7 linked regions of the Mus musculus genome follow. The protein of the gene in region 4 purifies or fractionates together with the protein of the main gene of each other region. This does not show direct contact. Links are inferred from orthologs where the notes say so. Each region holds a gene or a part of one and is shown on either strand. Other genes may lie near its edges. The genes, in order: Parp1, Gtpbp4, Rpl5, Npm1, Ddx21, Hnrnpu and H1f10.

Region 1 (3,500 bases), on a different chromosome or scaffold from region 4:
GAGAAGAAAGCGCATAGATTTCCTTTTCTCCCTGAAACAAAACCCAGGCAACTCTAACCCACGAAGTTAGAAGTCAGAACAGAAGCCAGGGGTTGAAGGCGCACACCTGCAATTTCAGCACTCAGGAGGAATGCTGGCTCTGCAGTCTGTATTTATTTGTTTGGGGATGTGGTCTCCCTATATATCACTGGCTGTCCTTGAACTCACAGAGATCTGCCTGCCGAAGGTCTGTTTTTTGTTTGTTTTTAAGAAGGAAGGAAGGAGCTGGGCATGGTGGTGCACGCCTTTAATCCCAGCACTTTGGAGGCAGAGGCAGGCGGATTTCTGAGTTCGAGGCCAGCCTGGTCTACAAAGTGAGTTCCAGGACAGCCAGGGCTACACAGAGAAACCTTGTCTCGAAAAACCAAAAAACCAAACAAGAAGGAGGAAGGAATTGGCAGAGGTTTCCTCCTGGGTACCATCCGTGTACAGGACCTGGAAGTCATCAGTGGTAGGTACATCACCTACCCATCCACCCCCCCACCCACCCACCCACCCACCCATCCGTCTGTCTGTCCGTCCGTCCATCCATCCATCCATCCGTCCGTCCACCCACCCACCCATCCATCCATCCATCCACCCACCCATCCATCCATCCATCCATCCAAGCCCACAGAACACACACCATCAGCAAAGGACATCAATGTGAAAGAAAATGAGATTTTGTAACTTGTGATTCATGTGAAAGAGTTGTCTATGAGCCCTCGGTCTGAGGCCGAGAACAAAGCAGGACAAACAGGGCTATCTTGTCTGGGTCAACACCACCTGGCCGGAACCTCCCCTCTGTCTACTGCCCCTCGACGCCAAGTCATACATCAACTGGTTGCTATGTGAACAAGATAAGCCCCCAGCCCACAGGAACAAAGTTCTGATGCCCTTTTGCTGACATGTAATCTTTCTGTTAATGTTAGAATAAGCCAATAGTGTGTCGCTATGCTGAATTCCACACCCCTAAGCCCCTCACCCCATAAAAACCCCTAGCTTTACATCCGTTATCTCCTGTGTGGGATACATGTCGGTCCGGAGCTCTGTAATTAAACGTCCTCATGTATTTACATCAAGATGGTCGTCCGTTCGTGATTCTTGGGTGCATACCGAATCGGGAATTGAGTGGGGGTTTCCCCACTAGGTTCTATCAGACGCACTGGTGGGGGTGGGGTGGCTATGGGAGCGCTTTGCTCTCGTGTTTCTCTCAGTTTTCCTAAAGCACGTGCTATGCAAACCTGGCGATCTGAGTTCAATTCCTGGAGCCCGTGGGAGAGAGCCAACCCAGTAAAGCTGTCTTTAACCTCCACATGCATATTGTACCACACACGTGTGCATGCACTAACATACACACACATACACCCACAACTAATAAAATAAAAAATTAAAACCTATTAAAAAAAAAAATCCATGCAAGCTTAAAGTCTTCCTTTCCATCATCTGGAAGATAAGACACCAAACCTCACACAAGAGTCAACACGGCCCGAGGAGGAGCCACAGAAGCAACTCAGCAGATAGAGAGAGAGCGCTTGAACCCCTGGCCACACACCTGCCACGCCTCCAGCCTCGGCCGTCTTCTTGACCTTCTGCTGATCATCCCAGCGCAGCTCAGAGAAGCCATCCACCTCAACATCAGGCTGCCGGATGGAGTGGCCCACCTTCCAGAAGCAGGAGAAGTGGTACCAGTGTGGGACTTTCCCATCGAACATGGGTGACTAAGGAACATAAAGCAGAGGTGAGGGGTCGTTAGTCTCCATGCAGGCCACAATCCTGCCCCCAGCCCAGGCAGCAACAGAGGCTGCCTGATGCTCTCTCAGGTCACATGGTGACTGGCAAATGGATGAGAAACAGCTTCTGGCTTCTCATCCTGGGTATTTTCCTAAAAGCTAAAACTTATGGCTGGCCACCCCCAAATCCATCTCAGGATGACAGGGTAACCCCGGTTCCTTGTGTGTGCCACATTCTGACTTTACTGCACAGCCTGGTGTGACACACAGAATTCCTAAAGTGTCCCGTAGACCTGTTAGAAGAGCCAGGAAGCAGCACTTGAACTCAAGGGTCTGGATGGCCCAGAAATGGCTCTTAAGTACCTCTGTGGTTAAAAATAATAAGGAACGGGACCTAGATAATGAACCAGGCAGAGAAAATGTGTCAGCAGAGTGTCAGACACAGCAAGGCATACATGCACAGGTGCATAGAAGGAACGGCTTCTGCAAGGGGAACAAGGAGCCTGAGGCAGAGGCTTCCAGGCCTGGAGATAGGCTGAATACTGGCCTCAGGGAGGCACCTGATCCCCCAATGTGCCTGAGGTAAAGGCACTGGGCCACTTTTTTCGCCTATGAGGCTCTACACCCAGGGTTGCCTGTTTTAGAGATGGTGACAGCCTGAGATGAGGGAGACAACGACATTAACCCAGTTTCCTCTGGGAACACCGCAGCAACAGCAGCAGCAGCTCACAGATGGTGGCAACAATGGAGACACAGTGAGGCGAATGGGACAAGAATCTGATACTGAGTTCTCCCCCACCCCAACTTCAGAAGAGCTACTTGACACGAACTGCCTTCTGACCCACTGAGGTGAGTGCTCATTAGGGCTGCTTCAAAGGGCAGAGAGGGAAAACACATAAGCAGTATTGAAGAGATCCCCTGAAGCTTCAGGTTAGAGTCAGCCTCCTTTTAGTTACATTACAGTGCAAGGCAGAGTTGGCTAAGGAGACAGTTCAGTGGCTAAGTTGTTCCACTACAGGACCTGGGTTCTATTCCTAGCACCCAGAAGGTCGTTCACAACCATCTGTAACCCCAGTTTCAGAGGATCTGACATCTTCTGACCTCTCTTGGCACCAGGTAGGAGATGCACAGACAAACATGCAGGCAAGACACTCATTCAAAAACTTTAAAAAGCAAGGCAAGATCTGCCTAGGTGACCCAATAGGAATTATGTGCTCGGGCAGGCTCCTGAAAGGAAGACGCCCTGCTAGCCTCCTCAGGTGCCTCAAGGCCCCGCCCACTGCTGCCCTCAGGGCAGTTTTACTGAGACAGAATCTGTCCCCAGTCAGGCAGAGGAGGAAGGTGGGGGACCGGCAGCAAAGATGGCCCCTAGACCAGATAATAAATGGTGTTTTTGAGCGGACTCAGCTTCTGGCTCGAGACACTCCATCGGATCAGCAGCTTCAGATCCCCGACCCCTGTGGCAAATGGCTTATGCCGCCTGCCTCAGCCTATAGCTATGGCTCTACAAGAACAAACACCTACCACCCCCAGACTGGGTGCCCTAAACTGGGGACACCAAGAAGTACTCCCTAATGGTGCACTTGATACAAAACCAGCTCAGCTGGTAAGAGCACTGACTGCTCTTCCAAAGGTCCTGAGTTCAAATCCCAGCAACCACATGGTGGCTCACAACCATGTAATGAGATCTGACGTAATGAGATCTATAATGAGATCTGACGCCCTCTTCTGGAGTGTCTGAAGACAGCT
Region 2 (3,500 bases), on a different chromosome or scaffold from region 4:
CCCCCACTTCCCAACCCACCCACTGCTTCCTGGCCCTGGCATTCCCCATGTACTGGGGCATATAATCTTCACAAGGCAAGGGCCTCAAGTCTGCAACTTCTAATCTTCAAAACAGTAAAAACTTGGGGGCTGGAGAGATGGCTTGGCAGTTAAGAGCACTGACTGCTCTTGCAGAGGTCCTGAGTTCAATTCCCAGCAACCACATGGTGGCTCACAACCATCTGTAATGGAATCCAATGCTCTCTTCTGGTGTGTCTGAGAGAGTGACAGTGTACTCATATAAATAAAAAAATAAATCTTTAAAGAAAAAAAGCAAAAGCTTATAAACCAATCAACTCACTGGGAGACTTTCACTGAGTTCCTTTCTTTTCTGAAACTCTTTTCATACAACTGACATTACAAAACACCTTACTTACTCTGAAGATCCAAAATGTAATCATCTCCCATTTCCAGCTCAAGATCTCGCTCCTGCAAGAAAATCCCCAAAAGTTTGTTTTAGCTTTTATGTCCCCAGATGCTTTGCAACCTCCTTACCGATGAAACAGCCTCTGACCCTTTATGCATCTATGCCTATCAGGAAGGCTGTTCTTGCCTACCTAGTGGACTATGTATCTCATGGACTTTGTTTACTGCAATCTAACATCAACTGAATGAAAAGCTTCATTCAAGAGTATGTTAAGAATTCACTGCTGTGTCCCTGAATCTTGGAGAGCCCAACCCCCAACCCTGGGTACACTCAGTTTGCATCTCCTGAATCAAGTCCACTTCGAGTGGCTAAAGCCCTGTCTTCTGTTACATACCCACCACCCAGCATTACTTTTTCTCGTGCACAGGCAGGCCTTCTATCCCTTTTCATAAGAAACCCAGACAAAGAGGTCCAGTAGCCTACCCTCTTCTTCTTGGGCTCTTCAATCTCCATTCTCTTCCTTCGAGCTATCACTCCTTCTGGGATGAAAGGGGGTCTCTCCTAAGAAGACATCATTTAAAGTATATGAAATGCATTCCCAAGTATGAGAGAAACTTAAAGGAACCAAACACAAAAAAACAAAGGCAATCTGCAAGGAAGACATAAAACAACCCAAACCAACTGAAATAAAATGTATTCTGGGGAGTTGAGTTTTGGAGCCAGAGTGGGCAAGAGACAAGACAACCCCAAAATTGATTCTAAAGTTCATTTGGAAAAGAATAAAAATTATCCTAAAACATGTAAGAAAAACAAACAGGAAAATAGTAGAATGAGAAACAGACATAAACCTAGGTATGTCTAAAATTCAATAGCATTAAATTCAGTAACTAGTTGAGACCAACGACAACCCCATGATACGAGGCCCACAAGTAATAAACCACACCTCCCTCAGGAAAAAATAAATTCAGCACACACAAAACTTCTATTCAGAAGAGAAATGAAAGCAAACAGAAACAAAAGCATGAAAATACAGAGGAAAATTACACTAAAGTATTTTAGAAATGAATGTTGCCAGTTCTCTGTAGAAAAAAAAATCTAATAACTACGAAAGAAGTATTGATGTTAATGTTCTGAAAATGTGTATCTTATTGAGATGTTTAAGAACAACAACAAAATAAGGAGGGGCTAGAGAGAGAATTCCGTGTTTAAGAAAATGTGTTGTTGTGTTCCTTCCAGTCTGGGCCGGTGCCCTGAGCAGACCTTGGCGAGAATTCCACAGCCAGTCCCACAACTCCCAGAAAAAGCTCCACTCCTAGGTGCTCTAACAAGCCCAAGTCCACATGATCCCAGAGGCAGTTTGACTCCCAGGAGCTCTGACACACCCAGGATTTCAGGATCCCAGAATCCCAGGAAGGACAGGCTCCATCCAGTCCATATAGTGAGGGCAGGTAGCACTAGAGATAATCAGATGGCAGGAAGCAAGCACAAGAGCATAAGCAACAGAAACCAAGGTTACTTGGCATCATCAGAACAGAATTCTCCCACTATACTAAGTCCTGGATACACCATCACACCAAAAAAGCAAGACTCAGATCTAAAAATCACTTCTCATGATGCTGATAGAGGACTTTAAGAAGGACATAAATAATTCCCTTAAAGAAATGCAGGAGAACACAGGTAAACAACTAGAAGCCCTTAAAGAGGAAACACAAAAATCCCTTAAAGAATCACAGGAAAACACAAACAGGTCGAGGAAATGAACAAAACCATACAAGATCTAAAAATGGAAATAGAAACAATAAAGAAATTACAAAGTGAGACAACCCTGAAGTTAGAAAACCTAGGAAAGAGATCCAGAGTCATAGACGCAAGCATCACCAACAGAATACAAAAGATAAAAGAGGTACAGAAGATGCCATAGAAAACATTGACACAACAGTCAAAGAAAATGCAAAATGCAAAAAGATCCTAACCCAAAACATCCAGAAAATCCAGGATATAATGAGAAGACAAACCTAAGGAAAATAGGCATGGAAGAGAGTGAAGATTCCCAACTCAAAGGGCCAATAAATATCTTCAACAAAATTATAGAAGAAAACTTCCCTAACCTAAAGAAAGAGATGCCCATCACCATACAAGAAGCCTACAGAACTCCAAATAAATTGGACCAGATCACATAATAATCAAAACACCAAATGCACTAAACAAAGAATTTTAAAAGCAGTAAGGGAAAAAGGTCAAGTAACATATAAAAGCAGACCTATCAGAATTACACCAGACTTCTCACCAGAAACTATGAAAACTAGAAGATCTTGGGGAGATGTCATACGGACCCTTAAGAGAACACAAATGCCAGCAAAACTCTCAATTACCATAGATGGAGAAACCAAGATATTCCATGACAAAACTAAATTTACACAATATCTTTCCAAAAATCCAGCCCTACAAAAGATAATAGATGGAAAACATCAACACAAGGAGGGAAACTTATACCCTAGAAAAAGCAAGAAAGTAATCTTTCAACAAACTCAAAAGAAGATAGCCCCGCAAACATAATTCTACCTCTAACAACAAAAATAACAGGAATTATCAATGGACTCAATTCCCCAAAAAAAGACATAGACTAACAGACTGGATACATAAAACTGGACCCAGCATTTTGCTGCATACAGGAAATGCACCTCAGTGAAAAAGCAGACACTACCTCAGAGTAAAAGGCTGGAAAACAATTTTCCAAGCAAATGATCCCAAGAAATAAGCTGGAGTAGCCATTCTAATATTTGAATAAAGTCAACTCTCAACCAAAAGTTATCAAAAAAAGATAAGGAAGGACACGTCATACAGGTCAAAGGAAAAATATACCAAGATGAACTCTCAATTCTGAACATCTATACTCCAAATGCAAGGGCACCCACATTCATAAAAGAAACTTTATTAAAGCTCAAAGCACACAATAATAGTGGGAGACTTTAACACCCCACTCTCAGCAATGGACAGGATCACGTAAACAGAAACTAAACAGAGACACAGTGAAACTAGCAGAAGTTATGAACCAAATGGATCTAACAGATATTTATAAAACATTTCATCCTAA
Region 3 (2,989 bases), on a different chromosome or scaffold from region 4:
CTCAAAGTCACAGCAAATCAAATGGAAATGGAACATTCTTTGATATTAAATAACCTAAAAACGTTATTGTGGAAGAAAATTTCCTACACAAATGACTCTTAGTTCATTTGGACTACTGCCATCATTGAGAATCTACTTATGATTTTGAGCATTTAAAGAGTGGCTTCTGCCCCCCAGGCCTGTGGAGTCATCATCTTAAATGCATGTTGTAACAATAATGGCAGGTGTAGGGCCAAGATGTCCAAAACTCATCCCTGCCCTTTTACAAGTCCACAAGTATATTCACTGTTAACTATCTTGACTTTAAAAAAAAAAAATTAATGCTGTGAAAATCCTCATTCCATAAACAGTGAGTGTTCTGTAGATGTTAGCCAGTCCCATTGCCGGACATTGTTTGCATTGAAGCTGCTGTTTAAACAAGGAAATTTATACATGAATTTACTAATGTTTTAGCATGGTAAAACTTTGCACATTAACACAAATTAAGAATGCCACACAGGTAAATTCAAATGACTCATTTATTAAAAAGTTCAGTTAATATAGCATGATTTACTGTGTACTTACACACTTTAACTTCAGATGGAGTCAACTGTGGAATGGCTTTTAGCTTCGGCATATATTCTACATGCTGAAGTTAGCATGCAGTTATCACTGTGACTGAAACTCATTATCTTTAAGCTCTGATAGGTTCATCTTAGTATCGTCACATTATCTTTGCTGGGGATGTAGGTAAGCAGTTAACTGTTTACCTGACCTGTGTAGCCCCAGTACCACAGAGCCTGACACTGTGAGGCAAGGCAAAGATGATAAAGATGCACAGCACCTCAGCTAAGACTGGATTAAGTCAGGAAGACAATTCTTGCTCCTTCTGGGATGAAGGGCTATTTACTAAGAGGCATAAGCACCTAATGCTTTCCCAAGTGAACCTGATATTCAAGGTTTAATATTTGACCCTTTCAAGTTATTTTCCTATGTACATTCATGTCTGGCATGTACCATAAAAATGAAACGTCCTAGACACCCCCTTCTCCTCAAACCAAATTTCACCGTTGTTCTCAAATCTTTAAAGCCATGGATTAGCACCAGTTGTTCACTTCCAAGATTGACCTTGAGATACTTTCTTCCCACTAATCAATTTGTTTGTAATAAATGTCCTGATGATCATGCTAATTACCAGATCTGAAAATCTGAAAGATAAGGACACCTCCCAGGAAGACTAGAAACCCAAGAAACACTCATGAGATTTGCAGGAACCCATGTAAGCTGGTTTTTCCTGGAGAAAGACTCTCAGCTAGGCATGGTAATACTTGCCCTTAATCCCACCAGTGGTAGGTTATGGTGCAACACAAAAGGTAAAATTAATTTAATTAATTAAATAACTATCTACTTCTTTGCTTTTGTAATTTCACACTATTTCCTATAGTCTCATTAATAACAGCTTAACACAGAAAAAGCTGCTTGATCAATATGTTTATTGTCTTTATGAAAAAATCTTCATAGAAAACTGCTTTAGCTTTCAGCAGCCCTTTCCTGAGCTCTGAGGAAGCTTGCCTTCTTTTGAGCAACCCGATCTTTCTTCTGGGCAAGAGACATTTTGGGACGATTCCACCTACAAAACAAAGTAAGGAATAAGACAGGAATATCTCTCAAGTGCAGCTGAAAAAAAAAATGACAAAACCTTTGTAATTGGATAGATTGAAAATCTCATTATCTGAAGATGTGTGTGTGTGTGTGTGTATGCATGTGTGTATATTATAGGTTTTCCTATATATCCTTTAGTTGGCTTTGAACTTGTTGCAATTGTCATGCCTCAAAACCTGAGTACACACATTAAGTTCTAATCCGGGTACTCAACTGCAATGGCTATATTCTCATTGTTTACGCCATCAAACTCAAGTCTATCTCAGCTGAGCATGATGGCTCACACTACAAGCCCAGTATTCACATTGTCAGGTAGAGGCAGAAATGTTATGAATTCAGGCAGGCAAAGAAAGGTTACTCTATAGGTAGCTAAAAAGAAACCATGCAGGACTGTACTGTAACAGAATGGGCACCTCAGTAGCTTCTGAGGTTGGCACATTGCTGTCACCACAATTACTCTAGCAAACCTGGTTCCCTCAGCTGCTGCCACATTATGCAGAGCTAGTGATCGAGTTTGCTCAAGTGCACAGAAATCTGACCAGCAAGATGCAGCGGGTTTCTTTCCTAGAGAATTGTAAACCACCCACCTCTTCTTCTTCACTTCTCTCTTGGGCTTCTTCTCATAGACTGGATTCTCTCGGATAGCAGCATGAGCTTTCTTATACATCTCCTCCATCTGGAAGAAAGCAAAGCAAACAGTATTTGCCTTCATTTCATGTGCCCTAAAGGTACAGTACCACCTGCATTCAGTTCTCAAAGGATCCTAACTAAGCCAATATTACCTCCTTATATCCCCAAGTGCAGCCCACCCTTATCCTTACATCTCACTGTTTAGGATGAACACCTGCATGCTTTCCTGAGAACTACAAGCCCATTTTTGTACAACTATACCATACTCTGTAGTCTACTGCCTCACCTAAATTCTTTCAAAAGAAGGTGTACACCTAAAAGATGTGAACTATACAGGGATAAAGACACACTAACAAGTGAGAGCAAGGGCATGAGGAGGGGGTTATCCTACCAAACTAGGTAACAATTTTTTTATCATCCCAAATATCCAAATTTATATTCCCTCTTATGTGACAGGCCTTTTAAGCCAGCACCAGAGACATACTATACCGTTGCCAATTTTAGTACGTGGTAGCTATCTTATTAGATTTCATTACTGGAACCTTTGATTCAAGTTTGTTTTAAAAAATTAAATTCAATGTGGTGGTGTACGCCTTTAATCCCAGGGAGGCAGAGGCAGGCGGATTTCTGAGTTCGAGGCCAGCCTGGTCTACAGAGTGAGTTCCAGGATAGCCAGGGCTACACAGAGAAACCCTGTCTCGAAAAACAAAAACAAATT
Region 4 (3,500 bases):
CCAAAATGGAAAAGACTTAAAACCATCAACACCGAGATCAAAGGTAAGTACCCAACAACAGACCTACTAAATTCAGTGCCTAAAAAAACTTTGTGCTTTGTGGTACTTAACCTTGCCTACATAATAGACTATAGTGCACACTAAGATAGCCCAATACATAAATTTGTGAAGTGTGTCATGTTCTGTGGTGGATTCCAAGGTTGACTTATTTTGTAGACTTGTTGAATTCTGACCTGTTATAGCTTTCACGATCTGGGTGGTGTGTGTGTATTTGTAGAGGTCAGGAGTTGTCTTAAGAGGCTTGTCAGGATTGATTGACTTTATTTTGAAGCATCTCTTCCAATCTTTTACTTTAAGATTTATTTATATAAGTACACTAGCTGTTTTTCAGACAGATGGTTGTGAGCTACCATGTGGTTGCTGGGAATTGAACTCTGACCTCTAACTGCTTATGCATCTTCAGCCCTCTAGTCCTGACAGGCTTTCTAGCTAGGAACAATTAGCAACTTCTCTGTGCTCTATAAGGGATTTTAGGGAGGAGGGAAATCTTGGTAATTACTTTGTTAAGAACTGTACTAATAATCTTTGAAAACTTTTTCCAGGGTCAAGAGTCCTTCAAAAAACAGGAAAAGACTCCTAAAACACCAAAAGGACCTAGTTCTGTAGAAGACATTAAGGCAAAAATGCAAGCAAGTATAGAAAAAGTGAGTAAAATTAACCTTTGAATATTAGAAATTCTACTAATGTGGGAATTTGGGTTAAAAGTAGATTATAAGTAAGAATATTCATAAATTACTCCAATAAAATGTATAAGGGTACTTTTTTTACTGGGGTTATGCTGTAGAACAAGCAGAGGGTGTTTTGTTTTCAGTAAAATTAAAAACAGCTGGAAAAGTAAGAGTAAAGTGGTTGGCTGCCTGAGGTTATTTTATAGCTAAGAAAAAAAGAATCACCTTTAAGTATTTCACAACAATTTGAGTTATTTCTGTGCCCTCTGTTCCAAAGCTCCCTCAGTCCATGACCTGAAATTTGTGTGTGTGGCTAATAGGCTTTCATCTAGTTTGAAATAGAATTTATCTTTCTTGGCATTTGGCTGGGACTAAATACATTTATATAAACCTGGGTTGTGTAGAATGGAATAATACAAATGATTTTTTTTTTTTTTGGAGAGCTAAGTTTATCTCCATTATGATTCTAACATGTGAATTACTTGAATACATGTGGAATGTTATGCAGATTGCCCATTCTTTTTCCTATTTTTTTCCTGTCTTGTAGTTCTCACATGGCTTCAGAAGATTTTCTTCCTTTGTGCAGCCACAAATGGATTGGAATTTAGCACTTGGCAGCACATTTCATATTTCTTATTAAACTGTAAACTTAAGTTTCCTGGTGTCACTGATTTATTTTTTATCCCTTGCATACACTGCTAAAATGATGCCCCTCCCCCCCATTTTAATGTGGTCCTATCTCCTTGGTTTAATTGCAGGCGCATTGAACATTCCTGGGCACTACTGGTAAATTAAGCCCAAAGATGGGGAAAGAGGAAAAGGAGAAACAAATATAGTACCATCAACAATCCAGACATCTCAATCCCCTTTCCTGATTGGCCATCCATTCCCCCTTGCAGGCTGGAAGCAATCTTGTTTTTCCTAAAGCATTTTTCTTTTACTTTTGTGATGCAGAAAACTACTTCTCTACCACTTGTGCATATGCCTCATTTCTTTGACCATGTTTTAACCTTTGTATCCTTAGCTACTCTCAATAAATTTTTAAATGAATCAATAAGGATGTATGTGACAATATTTTCAAATTACCGTAGTGAATTATTTTCTAGGTGATGAAGGCAATTGAGTACCTTAATACTCAAGGTGATTCTGGAATTTGGAAGCCTTAGTCTTGCTAAGTGCATAGAAATGCAAAAAGGTTAAAATTTAGAGAAGTGGATTTTATATGAAATAGGGGATAATCTGTAGTGACACTTTATGCTGATAAGTTAACATTTGCATTGCAGTATCTTAATTTGTAAGAATTTTGGCAGCAAAACTTGCTGATAATTGTGGTTTAGTCTACATTCATAATTGGAAGCATGCCAAATCGATGCTACAGTTAGTAATAAGGTACCTACTTTTAAATCCCTTCAATTGCGTGCTTTCCTAGGTAATTGGAAAACACTTATGAACAGGTCGTATCTAATTTGTTTTTTGGTGATAGGTGATAACATGAATTTGTATATTAGGCACCCAAGTGGCTGTACTTGCATGCCAGTAGAGCCCTCTGTAGTTTAAATTGGCTGTTTGGAAGGAACTGGGCATTAAGCAATAAAAAACCATGGTCTTTCTGGGTTTGGGCCCAGAGTTGGTTTTTTTTTGTTGTGTTTTGTTTTTCCAAGACAGGGTTTCTCTGGCTGTCCTGGAACTCACTTTTGTAGACCAGGCTAAACTCAGAAATCCGCCTGCCTCTGCCTCCCAAATGCTGGGATTAAAGGCGTGCGCCACCATGCCTGGCTTTAATGTTGGTTTTTAATCAAATGGGAATGTTAAAGGGTTATAGTTTGTGTAATGGCATGTAAAACTTTGGAAGTTTTTTCTAATGATGTCTCAAACAATTGCTGTTTGTCCTTAATAATGCTTTTTTTCCCCTCAATAGGGCGGTTCTCTTCCCAAAGTGGAAGCCAAGTTCATTAATTATGTGAAGAATTGTTTCCGGATGACTGACCAGGAGGTAACTGAATTTTCTGTGGACGTGACCAAATCTAAAATTTTCATTGATTTATTATGACTTTTAGTCTCAAGTTGTTGGCTCCTTGTAAAAAGTTCCTAACCACAGACAGTACTTAAATACATGGAAAGAATTTAATTGGCAGACTGAGCAAATAATTTTTTAGTGCACATTTTTCCCAGGTTTTAAATAGTTGGTAAATTATCTCTTGGTTACTGAACTTAGTTTTACTCTTAGTAGTGTATTGGCTAAGGAAATAGGATATGGTTTTTATTTGCTCCATTTGGCTGCTTTACAGTCTGATGATACTTGGACTCTTGGAAGTGGTAGTATCTTCTCCAGATAGCAAAGGAGGGTAAAATTGGTAGAATCAACCTAGATGGGTTAAAGCCTCTTGCATGTCAAGTTACTGTTATGTTTATTGTGGTATTAGGATACTTGGGCCATGCAAGGGCAAAGCACTACCAGTGATCTCTTCCCAGTGGTATGAATTTACAGTGTTAAATAGTAAATATAATGGGTTAATGTTAGACCTTCTGAATGAACAGTTGATTTAATTGGTTTCATCAGTATTGGCTATAGAGGTGTCTATTCAAAAAGAATTAAAAGGAACAATATAGCAGTAGAGTATTAAATGATAGTATTGCCTATTTAAATTATAGCTCCCAGGTTTGTAGTCAAAAGTGGTTAGGATTGAGGCAGACTGTCAATGATTGGAAGTAGTGATGTCATCAAATTCAGTCCTTTCGTGTTAGCTACAGATTGACCTAAGTTTTAGAATT
Region 5 (3,947 bases), on a different chromosome or scaffold from region 4:
AAAGTTTTAAAGTGAATTTAAAAAAAAAAAAAAAAAAAAAAAAAACAGGAGACCATGAATTTGAGATGAGCAAGGTGGGAATTCCATGGAAGGGGCTGGAGGGAGGAGAGGGGGGGGAGTGATGTAACTATGATTCTGGAGGGAGGAGAGGGGGGAGTGATGTAACTATGATTCTGGAGGGAGGAGAGGGGGGAGTGATGTAACTATGATTCTGGCTGTCCTGGGAATGAACTCTGCAGGACCAGGCTGGTATCAAACTCATGAGAGATCTGACTTCCTAGAGTTAAAGTCATGTTACTACACCTGGCTTAATGTAATTTTAATTATAAAAGGTCACACAGTACGTACGCTTTTTAATACCACTTCTTAGCTACAATGAAAAGAAGTATATTGCAATAGTCACTAACATGGGGGAAATAAAAGAGTTCTTCAAACTAAGTCTTCAGCTCATATTGGCCAATCATTATAAACTTTTTTTTTTCTTTTGGAGACAGGGTTTCTCTGTGTAGACCTGGCTGTCCTGGAACTCACTTTGTAGACCAGGCTGGCCTTGAACTCAGAAATCCACCTGTCTCTGCCTCCCAAGTGCTGGGATTAAAGACATGCACCACCACTGCCCGGCAAGACTAATTTTTTAAAGAGACTACCAAGGCTCTAAACTACATACTCGGAAAAAATGGTTCAGGGGGAAAATGCTTACTCTGCCACTATGAGGGTTTGACAGGAAACTCTAGCAGCCACTGAATAATGAGTGTGGTGGCACATGCCTGTCACCCTAGCTGGTGGGGCTGGAGTGGGCAGCTAGCCAGCCTAGGTGTCCCCAAAAGTGTGTATCACTACAAGCCAGCGAAGTGGCGATACACACTTTAATCCCATCACTCAGGAGTTAGAGGGAGGTGGATCTCTATGTTCATGGCCGGCCGGGTCTACAGAGCAAGTTCCAGAATAGCCAGGGCTATAGAGAAACTGTCTGTGGGGGCTGGTGAGATGGCTCAGTGGGTAAGAGCACCCGACTGCACCCGAAGGTCCAGAGTTCAAATCCCAGCAACCACATGGTGGCTCACAACCATCTGTAACAAGATCTGACTCCCTCTTCTGGTGTGTCTGAAGAGAGCTACAGTGTACTTACTATAATAATAAATAAAATCTTTAAAAAAAAAAAAAGATTAAAAAAAAAGAAAAACTGTCTGTGGGTGGAGGGTAGGGTGAGTGAGAGTGGGGAAAATAAGTGATAAAGGCACCCACCCAACATTGACCTCAAACTTCTGTAACCCCAGGGGCAAGCATACCCATCCATCCATACATACATACATACACACACACACAGTATCAGTGAGCAAGCACTGTCCAAAAGGTAACTATGAAGGAAGGAAAGAAAGAAAAGAAAGAGAGAGAGAGAGAGAGCGAGCAAGCAAACTTTGGGTGTCCTCATAACAGCAACAACAGGTTTCTTTTCCCTCCAAAATTTCTATATGGTAAAACACTCAAGAAATGTGTACTTCAATGTGGATTCTCGTAGACACTATATGAAACAAAACTACCAAAAAAATTCATATATCATTTGCGTCTGTGAAACTTTATTTGGACTTTATTTAAATGTGCAACTTTTCATATGGAAAATTTGTACCGATTATTAGCCACCTACTAGATAGACTCTAGTAGTGTTCCAGGCAGTAAAGACTAAATCATAATGGACTAAATTCTCAAATCATGGCCTAAGGTAGCGATTCTCAACTTTTCAAATAGTTCATATTGTAGTGACCCCCAACCAGAAAATTATCCCGTTGTTACTTTAATTTTTGCTACCGTTATGAATCATAATATAAACATCTGCAGATTATCTGTCAGGCTGAGAACCGCTGGGCTAAGGGCTAGAGCTACAGTGGGACAGCACCTGCCAACACGTGAGCTGCCCAAGGTTTGGTCCTGGTACCACAAAAACCATCTTAAAAATACTGTATCGTGGACAATCTCTCCGCCCCATGAACATGTTATCTACTACATATATGAAAAACAGTAAGTCGAGTTCGGAATATAAACGCGTAGCTAGGTCCCTCCCTCCTGACTTCAGCATCAGGCAGCTGAACACGCGGATGTGAACGCTGTGCGCCCAGTGATTTCCACCTAATTCAAATACTACTGCTGCTCCTTTAAAAGGCTCCTACCTTCAAAGTCAACAGAGACAGCAAAAAAAAAACTCAATTAAGTCGTACAACATAGGAGTTCCGGGATAATTTCCGAACCCTCCTACTTTGATAGATACTGTCACAAGTTTAATATTTTTATGCAAGGAATTAAGAAGAGACAAGGCGATTTAACAGTGCTCACACAGATCCTTCTATATAATAGGGTGATCACTTAGCCAACCACGTTTTCTGTTTTGGGTTTTCTTTTTTTTTTCTTTTCTTTTCTTTTTTAAAGAGGGAACTGTGTCTGTGTGTCACAGCAGATGCCGACCATGTGCGCAAGTTTCAGACTTTGCCGTCTTCGGCTCTGGTCCGCACTGTGACGCGATCGGCAATCCCTTCCGCACTCCCAAGCCTGACCAGCCGACACGGCGTGTCAGAGGGCCGGCCACGAGCTCCCGGCCCGGCCCAGTTCGGGGACACCCCCCTCCCCCCAGGCTCACCTTCTCGCTTGGCTTCGGCAGCGTCTCCATGCTCTCCTCGGCCCCGTCTGAGCCCAACTTGGCCCCACTGCGGAGTTTTCCCGGCATTATTCAGCAGCAGCTTCTCAGGCCTACCGGCTTCCTCAACCGCGTGCTAGGAGAGAGGGCGACAGAGAAAGCGGACCGCCCCTCAGCCGGGCCTATTCGTCACTTCCGCAGCGGAGTGCATCCGGCGGAAGTAGCGTGTACCGGCAAGGCTGCGGTTCGCGCGGCTTTGGGTGAGACCCGTGTGTGCGGCGTGGAGGTGCTCTGCGCGGTCTAACGACAGCGGGATCGCCACGGCTAGACTTGGAGAACGGCCTTGAATCTTACCCTGCTGCCTCCGCTTGCCGAGTCTGGGATTACCAGCTGGCAACATTTTCCCATGAAAAGCTGCGATGTGTACGCTACCTGTGGAAAACGGCTGGGTGGTGACAGATAAACCCAGGTGCTTTGGTGAGCACCGGAATTCAGGGACCGGCGAGATACCACAGTTCTGGTGACCTGAATTTGTGATCCCTGGAAAACAGAACCAGCTGTGCAGTTTTATCGTGCACGCGCTCAGTGGCACCCAGGACACGCATATGCGTGCTGCACAATATGAACAATTTAAAAGAACCAGAATAGGCAGGGCATATGGGGTGCACGCCGCTAATCTCAGCACCCAGGAGCCAGAGGTAGATGGATCTCTATCGAGTCCAGCGTGGTGCACATAGTTCAAGGCTAGCCCGACACATGATGAGATTGTCTCAACAGCTCTCTCCCCGACCCCAAGTAACAACAAAAAATACCCACAATTCACAAGTCTGGCCCTTTATTCATGTGTGCACTTTATAAACTTCCGGGTATTCTTGTATGACGGACAGGGTTCGTTTTTTTGTGTTTTGTTTTTCGAGACAGGGTTTCTCTGTGTAGCCCTGGCTATCCTGGAACTCACTTTGTAGATCAGGCTGGCCTCGAACTCAGAAATCCGCCTGCCTCTGCTTCCAGAGTGGACAGACAGGATTCTAATAACATCCAAGCCCTGCTTGTCCTCAAGCACTACAGACCAAAGTTTCTCAAGGGGGTCGACACTCCGTTGGGGTTCAACGACCCTTTTACCAGTGGTCATATATCAAATATTTACATTAAGATTCAATAGCAAAATTACAGTTTTGAAGTAGCAATTTTTTTTTTCAGAGCTGAGGACTGAACCCAGAGCCTTGCGCTTGCTAGGCAAACGCTCTACAGCTGAGCTAAATCCTCAACAACTAAAATTAATTCATTTTATGGTTGGGGATCACCACAACGTAAGAGGCAT
Region 6 (4,203 bases), on a different chromosome or scaffold from region 4:
GGGTTTCTTTGTGTAGCTCTGGCTGTCCTGGAACTGGCTTCATAGACAGGGTGGGGGTGGGGGTGAGGGGATGGGGGTGGGTGGGTGGGGTGCCTCTGCTTCCTGAGCGCTGGAGCCAAACTTGGGTGTCACCACTGCCTGCCTGGCTGACACTGAATTCTTGATCATCTTACCTGTATCTCCCAAGTGTTGAAATTATACACATGTACCACCAAGCATAGCTTGGGTGCAATCTACACAGGAAGGCCCCAGTGTAGAAATTAAATTCTATATAAAAGTTTCAAGAACACAACATATTTAATGCCAGAAAACAAATCATAATTTTTTTTCTTTTCTTTTTTGAGATAGGGTCTGGTATTCAACCCAGATAAGCCTGGAATTTACTAAGTAGCCCAGGCTAGCTTTTAACTCTTGATACTTCTGCCTCACTCTGCCAAGTAATAGAACTACAGGTGTTTTCTTTTTTTACTAAATCCCAGCCTTTTGTTACTACCAGTTTGTAGACAAGTCAGCAGGTATACAAACATGTTTAGAGTGGCTGAAAAAACAGGGAGAGGATCAAAGTGCATAATCTAGCTGGGTGCTGGCTGTCTTCCTCATCTGTAATTAAAGGGTCTCCAAACTGGTGGATCAGATTTGCAGGGGACAGAGGCCTATCTTTATAGTACAACGAGGGGAACTTCCATGAAAATCTAAGGCTTACTCAAAGGTCAATAGAAAATACGGTGAGTAGCAACACAAGGCCCGCTCTATATGGCTGTTAGGCATGGTGGAGTACAGCAAGCCTCTTTCCCAAACCTTGCACCACTGGTTGGGGAAGAGACAAAAGAAAGGCTCTGGCCTCGCCCTTGCGGAACTTAAAATAAGTCCGACTGGCAAGGCAGGACTTGTAAAATTTAAAAACGCAGTTAAATGGTGGAAAAACTAAACAAAACACCACCTTTGCATAACAATCGCCTATGGGTGTTCTACAGGGCAGCGGTGGAAACTTGAAGAGTTTTTTAAACCTAGAGCCGGAGGGACAAAAAAAAAAACAAAAACCAAAACAAAAAAAAAAAAACCCAAGAAACAACAACAAAAAAAACAACCCGAAAACCAAAAAACTAAACTAAGATGGAAGAAAGGAGGTTGTTCTCGAGTGGAAAATGCCAGGTGAGGACTGAAGGCGGGTGGAGGAGAGCCTCCGCCAGGACACAGAAGGCAGAGCGCCGGTGGAGCGCGGCGGCTCAAGAGCCGGAAAGGCCGGCGGCCACTGCGGCGGGTCCGTTTAACCGAAAGGTGGCTTCTAAGAGCCTCCATTTGCGCGGTCCGGCCCAGCGCGGAGGTCGCGCAGTGGGGGCGGGGCGGGGCCTGCGCGCGCAGCCGCTCTAGCGGGCCTCGCCTCGGCAGGGGGCGGGGCGCCTATATTACGTGCGCGGCGCCGCCCCTGCGAGAGGACGTTGCGTGCTCGCTCGCGCCGGGCGAGTCTCCGCGTCTTGCCTCGCGAACTCGGTGAAAGGAATTGGCGCCGTTCGACACCAGGCGGGTCCGTTCTGCAGCAGCACTCAGCCATCTCCAGCCGCAGCCGCCGCCCGGGCCGACCAGCAGCAGCCGCCGCCGCCACAGGCCGAGGGAGCCAGCAGTCAGCGGGGAACCGGGGCCCTCAACATGAGTTCTTCGCCTGTTAATGTCAAGAAGCTGAAGGTGTCGGAGCTGAAGGAGGAGCTCAAGAAGCGGCGCCTCTCCGACAAGGGCCTCAAGGCCGATCTCATGGATCGACTCCAGGCCGCGCTGGACAACGAGGCAGGAGGCCGCCCCGCCATGGAGCCCGGGAACGGCAGTCTCGACCTAGGTGGCGATGCGGCCGGGCGCTCGGGAGCGGGCCTAGAGCAGGAGGCCGCGGCTGGCGCCGAAGACGACGAGGAGGAGGAGGGCATCGCCGCTCTGGACGGCGACCAGATGGAGCTGGGCGAGGAGAACGGGGCGGCGGGGGCGGCTGACGCCGGCGCGATGGAGGAAGAGGAGGCAGCGTCGGAAGACGAGAACGGCGACGACCAGGGCTTCCAGGAGGGGGAAGACGAGCTCGGCGACGAGGAGGAGGGCGCGGGCGACGAGAACGGTCACGGGGAGCAGCAGTCCCAACCGCCGGCAGCGGCGGCGCAGCAGCAGCCTTCCCAGCAGCGTGGTGCCGGCAAGGAGGCCGCGGGCAAGAGCAGCGGCCCCACCTCGCTCTTCGCGGTGACGGTGGCGCCGCCAGGGGCGAGGCAGGGCCAACAGCAGGCGGGAGGTAAGAAGGCGGAAGGTGGCGGGTGAGTGTTGCGTGATGGGTGCGCGTGGCGGTGGGGACCGTGCCCCAGGCCTGCCGGGGCCCCTCGGGGCGAGCGCCGCGGGAGGGTGGGGGCGGGGGAGCCCCGGGAGGCTCTGCTCGCCATGCCGGCGGCGCCTCCATTATGTATGTCGGGCGCCGGGGTGGGGGGAGCGCTGCAGCTGCCGCGGTGGGGGGGCCGGCCGGGCGGGAGCGCCGGCCGCTGGGGCGCTGCGTGCGCGCGGTCCGGGCACATGTCGGCGGTGGGGGGAGGGGAGAAGCCCGAAGGTCCCGGAGCGGGCGGGCTTTGGCGGCTTAGCGCCGCGGTATTGTGCAAGGAGCGCAGGGGCTCGTGGTGACGTCACTTCCGGCGGCAGGCGCGGGGAGCGGGGCGGAAGCTCAGTACAATGCGGCGGCGGGGCACGCGGGCTCGTGTGGGGGAGGGGAGGTGGGCCCAGGCTTCCCCCCCCCTCGTTTGAGCGCGGCCGGCGCACGTGGGCCCGGGCGGTGTCCCGCTTTTTTTTTTTTTAAACTCTTTTTAAAAAATGCTTTCTGGAAGGTTGCGGTAGGCTGGCAAGTTCAGTCTTCAGACTGCGTCACTGTGTCCAGTCCAAGTCCAGACTTTTTTATTTTCATTTGTCGATTAAAAAAGTCAAAGAATCAGTCAGAAAAAAATAATCAGTAACAGCTCTTGAGGCTCGAAACACAAAAGGTGCTTAACTGCATTATTTAGTTTTCGGCCTGATGCTTTAAGGCGGTGTTCTGTGTCGTTATAGGAGACGGCAAAACAGAACAGAAAGGTGGAGATAAAAAGAGAGGCGTTAAAAGACCGCGAGAAGATCATGGCCGAGGGTATTTTGAGTACATCGAAGAAAACAAGTACAGCAGGTAGAGGCTCCTCACCCAGTTTTAACAGTCGCCCGCTCTTTTTGTATACAAGGTGGGGAAAGCTTTATCAGGAGACAATTCTGTCTTTCAGAGCCAAGTCTCCTCAGCCACCTGTTGAAGAAGAAGACGAACACTTCGATGACACAGTGGTTTGTCTTGATACTTGTAAGTGAGGCGGACTTTCCCGCTCTTTGCTAGTTTTCAAGTGCAGTGTTAACATTGGTTTTAAGTGTTAGGAAAAATGTGTTGATCTTAAAGTGGAAAAAACCAGTTAAGAAACTTATTTTAAAGCAGGAAGGTAGTAGCTTAATGCTCAGGCTACAGTAGTTTAATATTAATACCACTTCAGTTGTATTGATTTAACAAGCTCTAGTAATTGGTAATATTTACGAGTTGAAACTTCTCAGTACTTGGGGGATGTAAAACTAAATAATTTTTGCTCGGCTATCAGAAACTTGTTTTTTTAAAAACCTGCCTGTAACTTGTCCTTAGATTACATGATTTAGTTTTTTCTCGTGGAACTATGTTAAGTGAGCTATTTGGGCTAGTTGAATACTTACTGATTTTCCCATTAGCACACAAGTGTATTCCCTATTCTAAGGATTGTAATATTAACTTTCAATAACTGCTCTTTTGTTCTCAATTCCAGTTCAGTAGCTGCTGCTTTAACATAAGTTGATTTCTTCCAAAGACCTGGGGCAGCAGCAGTGGGCTATCTGAGCCACTAGCTTTCTTCAGCAGCGAATGGTATCAATGGCAGCACTGTAAATATGCTACTTAACCCAGTTGGGTTGCAATTGAATATGAGGAAGTATTGCAAACCATGAAATGGGCTTTAGCTGTCAGATTTGTATTTTTATCCTTTAAAGAAGTCAGTTTAGTATTTAATAAGAACATATCTTTTGGTGTGAGCAGAACAAAAAAAGTACAAATCAGTGCTTAGTTACAGGATTTCACTTGGTAGAAGGGGTTAAAAGCTTGGATTCTCATGTTTTCCCTGTACAAATTGTTCAGAGCCCTGAGAGTTAAGT
Region 7 (2,991 bases), on a different chromosome or scaffold from region 4:
AAAGAGGGTAGTGAGTCCAGGAGAGCCTGCACCCTATAGCCCGCTGTCCCTCAAAACTCACAGGCCCCTTGGCCCTCCTCCTGAGAACGAGTCACAAGAGGATGACTTGGGCTCTGGGCTCTGCTAAACCCTGGCCACTTCCTGACGATCCTTCCTTTGATGGGGATGAGGTCGTGGGGTGCGGGGAGGCTGGCACACCCACGAGTACTGAGTTTGAAAGGCTGAGAATCTGGGCCTTCTTGATCTACAGGCAGTCACTCCCTCTTTTCACCCAAGAGGCCAGGGAACTGCTTACCTATTGGAACAAAGCTGGCCTGGACGCTTTAGTGGTGTCTACTATGTCCTCCGCAGGCTGGCCATTGCCTGCACAGCCCTCTCTCCACCGTTGGACTACTTCCCAGGCTTTCAGGTCCTTCTCTGTACCACCACCTCCTTCAAGTCCTCCCGCACCAAGTGATGCAGTATTCGATCCCCCAAAGCCGGCAGGATCCTCAAAAGCCAAATCCCCTGCCACACCCTCTAAGGGAAATGCCTTAAGGGTAACCTTACACTTTTCCATCCTGGAGCCCCCATCTAATTCTGAGGGGTCCAGGGACGGCTACTTAAGCATCACAAAATGGGGTACTTGGGGCCAGAGAGTGGTGAGGAAGTGTCTAGGGAGAGGCCCTTGTGGTCGTGCCTGCACTGACTCATCTTTGAGATGCCAGGCGTGCAACCTCAGGGCAATTCCCTTCTGTTGGTTCCCCTTAGGATTCTGAGAAGACCCCCGCCCCAGCACGCTCTCGGGCTTTGCCTTGCTCCTGTCGGCCGCGTGAGGGCGTACCCTGTGTTAGTTGGGACAAATTAATGCCCTTCCTGCGGGCAGGGCTGTGGTCCCCTGGGCCCAGAACCAACTCAGGTGCCTGAGGAGCACTCTTGTCTGCCGCCTGCAAAGTTCTCGGTCTTGGGGTCTCGCCCGGGGCCCGTGCTAATCCTTTGCAAATCGAGCGCCCCCCTCCTCCATGCTCCTATAGCCTGGGGTACACACCTCTGAGCCGCTCCGCTGAGCCCGTCCTAGGCGCAGGCCGCCTCTGCGCAGCGCAGCGGGCTCGGATGCTGTCCAGGGCACACTGCTGAGGGTGCAGCCGCGCCCGGGAGCCGCGGGCGGAGGAGCCAGTGGCCGCGGAAGGCGCTCCAAGAAGCACAAGTTGGCGCTGGACTGGGCCCAGGCTGTTGTTGTTCTCAACGTGGTCCGCCACGGGGAAATAAAAGCGGAGCGGGGCGCGCTCTCCGCCAGAGCGTAGCGCGCACGCCCAGAGCTCCGGAGCCCGCGCAGTGCTGCCGCGCTCCCCGCAGGCTCCTCTCCGCATCCCACCCCCCCAGCCCCGCCGCGGCCGGCCCGGCCCCCGCCCGCACCTCAGCCCTGCCGCCTGGTCCCAGGCCCGGCCGCGGCCGCTCCCGCCTGGAGCCGCCGCGCGCCCCCAGTCCCCCGGCGCCGCCGCGGCCCCTCGCCTTCCTCTTCCCGGCGCGGCCCCCCGGCTACCGCGCGCCGCCTGCCGCCAACCCGCTGGCCACCATGTCGGTGGAGCTTGAGGAGGCCCTGCCGCCAACGAGCGCCGACGGGACGGCCCGCAAGACGGCCAAGGCCGGCGGCTCTGCGGCGCCCACGCAGCCCAAGAGAAGGAAGAACCGCAAGAAGAACCAGCCAGGCAAGTACAGCCAGCTGGTGGTGGAGACCATCCGCAAGCTGGGGGAGCGCGGCGGCTCGTCTCTGGCGCGCATCTACGCTGAGGCCAGGAAGGTGGCATGGTTCGACCAGCAGAACGGGCGCACCTACCTCAAGTACTCTATCCGGGCGCTGGTGCAGAACGATACGCTACTGCAGGTGAAGGGCACCGGCGCCAACGGATCCTTCAAGCTGAACCGCAAGAAGCTGGAGGGCGGCGCGGAGCGGCGCGGAGCTTCGGCGGCCAGCAGCCCCGCGCCCAAGGCGCGCACGGCGGCGGCGGACAGAACGCCCGCCAGGCCGCAGCCGGAGCGGCGCGCGCACAAGAGCAAGAAGGCGGCGGCTGCTGCCAGCGCGAAGAAAGTGAAGAAGGCGGCCAAACCCAGCGTGCCCAAGGTGCCCAAGGGCCGCAAGTGACGCCCCTACGGTCTGGCGACATCGTCGAGTTTTCCATCTGTCTCTATCCCTATCCGCCCCCCCCACCCTCGGTGTACCGGTTCCGTAGGGTTCCGCCTGGCCCAGGTCCCTGATCCCTGTCCCCTCCCCCGCCCCTCCCCCAGCGATGCTGCGTTCTGTTTGCTTTAGGTTTTTGAAACGGCCCTGGCGACGCCCCCATTGGCTCTCACCCTTGGCAACGGCCGTCGCCATGGTTACCGGCCCGGCGGCGCCAATGGCCTGGTGGCGCCTGCCTACTGTGCCCGCTGATGGCCACCAGGCGCTTGGGTTGTGTGGCGCCTTGCTCCGCCCGCTGCCTTCCTGGGGCGCAATAAACGGTTCCAACCTTGACCATTGTCGTTGTCTTGTGGGCGCTGGAGGCTGCTTGGGGTTCCTGCGGGGGAGTCGAGGGTCATTAAGACCAGCTAGACAACTAGCAGGCGCTGCCAGAGGTGGGACAGATGTGCCCAGAGACAGCTGCCCAGTGGAGAACTCTTGTAAAAGTGGGTTCCCAGTCTTGGGTTGCTGCAGTGTCCAGCATATAAAAGATAAAAGATTTCTACATGTTGGAAATTAAACCTCAGGATCTAGTGCAACATAATGGACAGTTTTACCAAATGGAAGACTAGGAAGGTTCTGAACAGTATGTACACATACAAGTAGGGTGAGATGGAACCCGAGTTAGGGGAGGGTTACATGGTGCTCTTTCCCTGTATCACCTTTTTGGGTCTTGGCAGTGTCTTGAGGGTGGGAAGGGACCAGTGTTTCTTGGCAGGTGTGATCATGAAGCAGACTGAGCTGCCCAAAGTGGGCATTTCACTGCCTCTTGGATGTCTGGTACCTGGCTGAAG

Evidence for each region.
Region 1: the proteins of Npm1 (region 4) and Parp1 purify together in Homo sapiens (affinity purification with western blotting; 3 studies listed by BioGRID, with this or other methods). This does not show direct contact. The link is inferred for Mus musculus from reciprocal best matches to the Homo sapiens genes NPM1 and PARP1.
Region 2: the proteins of Npm1 (region 4) and Gtpbp4 purify together in Homo sapiens (affinity purification with mass spectrometry; 3 studies listed by BioGRID and IntAct, counting the BioPlex papers as one, with this or other methods). This does not show direct contact. The link is inferred for Mus musculus from reciprocal best matches to the Homo sapiens genes NPM1 and GTPBP4.
Region 3: the proteins of Npm1 (region 4) and Rpl5 purify together in Homo sapiens (affinity purification with mass spectrometry; 4 studies listed by BioGRID and IntAct, counting the BioPlex papers as one, with this or other methods). This does not show direct contact. The link is inferred for Mus musculus from reciprocal best matches to the Homo sapiens genes NPM1 and RPL5.
Region 5: the proteins of Npm1 (region 4) and Ddx21 purify together in Homo sapiens (affinity purification with mass spectrometry; 3 studies listed by BioGRID and IntAct, counting the BioPlex papers as one, with this or other methods). This does not show direct contact. The link is inferred for Mus musculus from reciprocal best matches to the Homo sapiens genes NPM1 and DDX21.
Region 6: the proteins of Npm1 (region 4) and Hnrnpu purify together in Homo sapiens (affinity purification with mass spectrometry; 3 studies listed by BioGRID and IntAct, with this or other methods). This does not show direct contact. The link is inferred for Mus musculus from reciprocal best matches to the Homo sapiens genes NPM1 and HNRNPU.
Region 7: the proteins of Npm1 (region 4) and H1f10 purify together in Homo sapiens (affinity purification with mass spectrometry; 3 studies listed by BioGRID and IntAct, with this or other methods). This does not show direct contact. The link is inferred for Mus musculus from reciprocal best matches to the Homo sapiens genes NPM1 and H1-10.

What each region holds. Positions count from the first base shown.
Region 1 is NC_000067.6:180,571,891-180,575,390, reverse strand, and holds part of Parp1 (poly [ADP-ribose] polymerase 1), read right to left. Parts: intron 1,740-3,500; coding exon 1,574-1,739; intron 1-1,573. UniProt on the Homo sapiens protein: Poly-ADP-ribosyltransferase that mediates poly-ADP-ribosylation of proteins and plays a key role in DNA repair.
Region 2 is NC_000079.6:8,979,013-8,982,512, forward strand, and holds part of Gtpbp4 (nucleolar GTP-binding protein 1), read right to left. Parts: intron 968-3,500; coding exon 890-967; intron 469-889; coding exon 417-468; intron 1-416. UniProt on the Homo sapiens protein: Involved in the biogenesis of the 60S ribosomal subunit. Acts as a TP53 repressor, preventing TP53 stabilization and cell cycle arrest.
Region 3 is NC_000071.6:107,906,517-107,909,505, reverse strand, and holds the end of Rpl5 (60S ribosomal protein L5), read right to left. Parts: intron 2,318-2,989; coding exon 2,229-2,317; intron 2,162-2,228; exon of another isoform or gene 2,030-2,161; intron 1,610-2,029; coding exon 1,510-1,609; 3' UTR 501-1,509; downstream 1-500. Other genes in the region: Dipk1a (divergent protein kinase domain 1A), read left to right, coding at 1-102.
Region 4 is NC_000077.6:33,153,207-33,156,706, reverse strand, and holds part of Npm1 (nucleophosmin), read left to right. Parts: coding exon 1-43; intron 44-602; coding exon 603-704; intron 705-1,486; coding exon of another isoform or gene 1,487-1,495; exon of another isoform or gene 1,496-2,646; coding exon 2,647-2,721; intron 2,722-3,500. UniProt on the Homo sapiens protein: Involved in diverse cellular processes such as ribosome biogenesis, centrosome duplication, protein chaperoning, histone assembly, cell proliferation, and regulation of tumor suppressors p53/TP53 and ARF.
Region 5 is NC_000076.6:62,599,499-62,603,445, forward strand, and holds the start of Ddx21 (nucleolar RNA helicase 2), read right to left. Parts: upstream 2,801-3,947; 5' UTR 2,717-2,800; coding exon 2,630-2,716; intron 1-2,629.
Region 6 is NC_000067.6:178,335,016-178,339,218, reverse strand, and holds the start of Hnrnpu (heterogeneous nuclear ribonucleoprotein U), read left to right. Parts: upstream 1-1,403; 5' UTR 1,404-1,647; coding exon 1,648-2,266; intron 2,267-3,060; coding exon 3,061-3,172; intron 3,173-3,263; coding exon 3,264-3,337; intron 3,338-4,203. UniProt on the Homo sapiens protein: DNA- and RNA-binding protein involved in several cellular processes such as nuclear chromatin organization, telomere-length regulation, transcription, mRNA alternative splicing and stability, Xist-mediated transcriptional silencing and mitotic cell progression.
Region 7 is NC_000072.6:87,979,921-87,982,911, reverse strand, and holds H1f10 (H1 histone family, member X), read left to right. Parts: upstream 1-1,429; 5' UTR 1,430-1,555; coding exon 1,556-2,122; 3' UTR 2,123-2,491; downstream 2,492-2,991.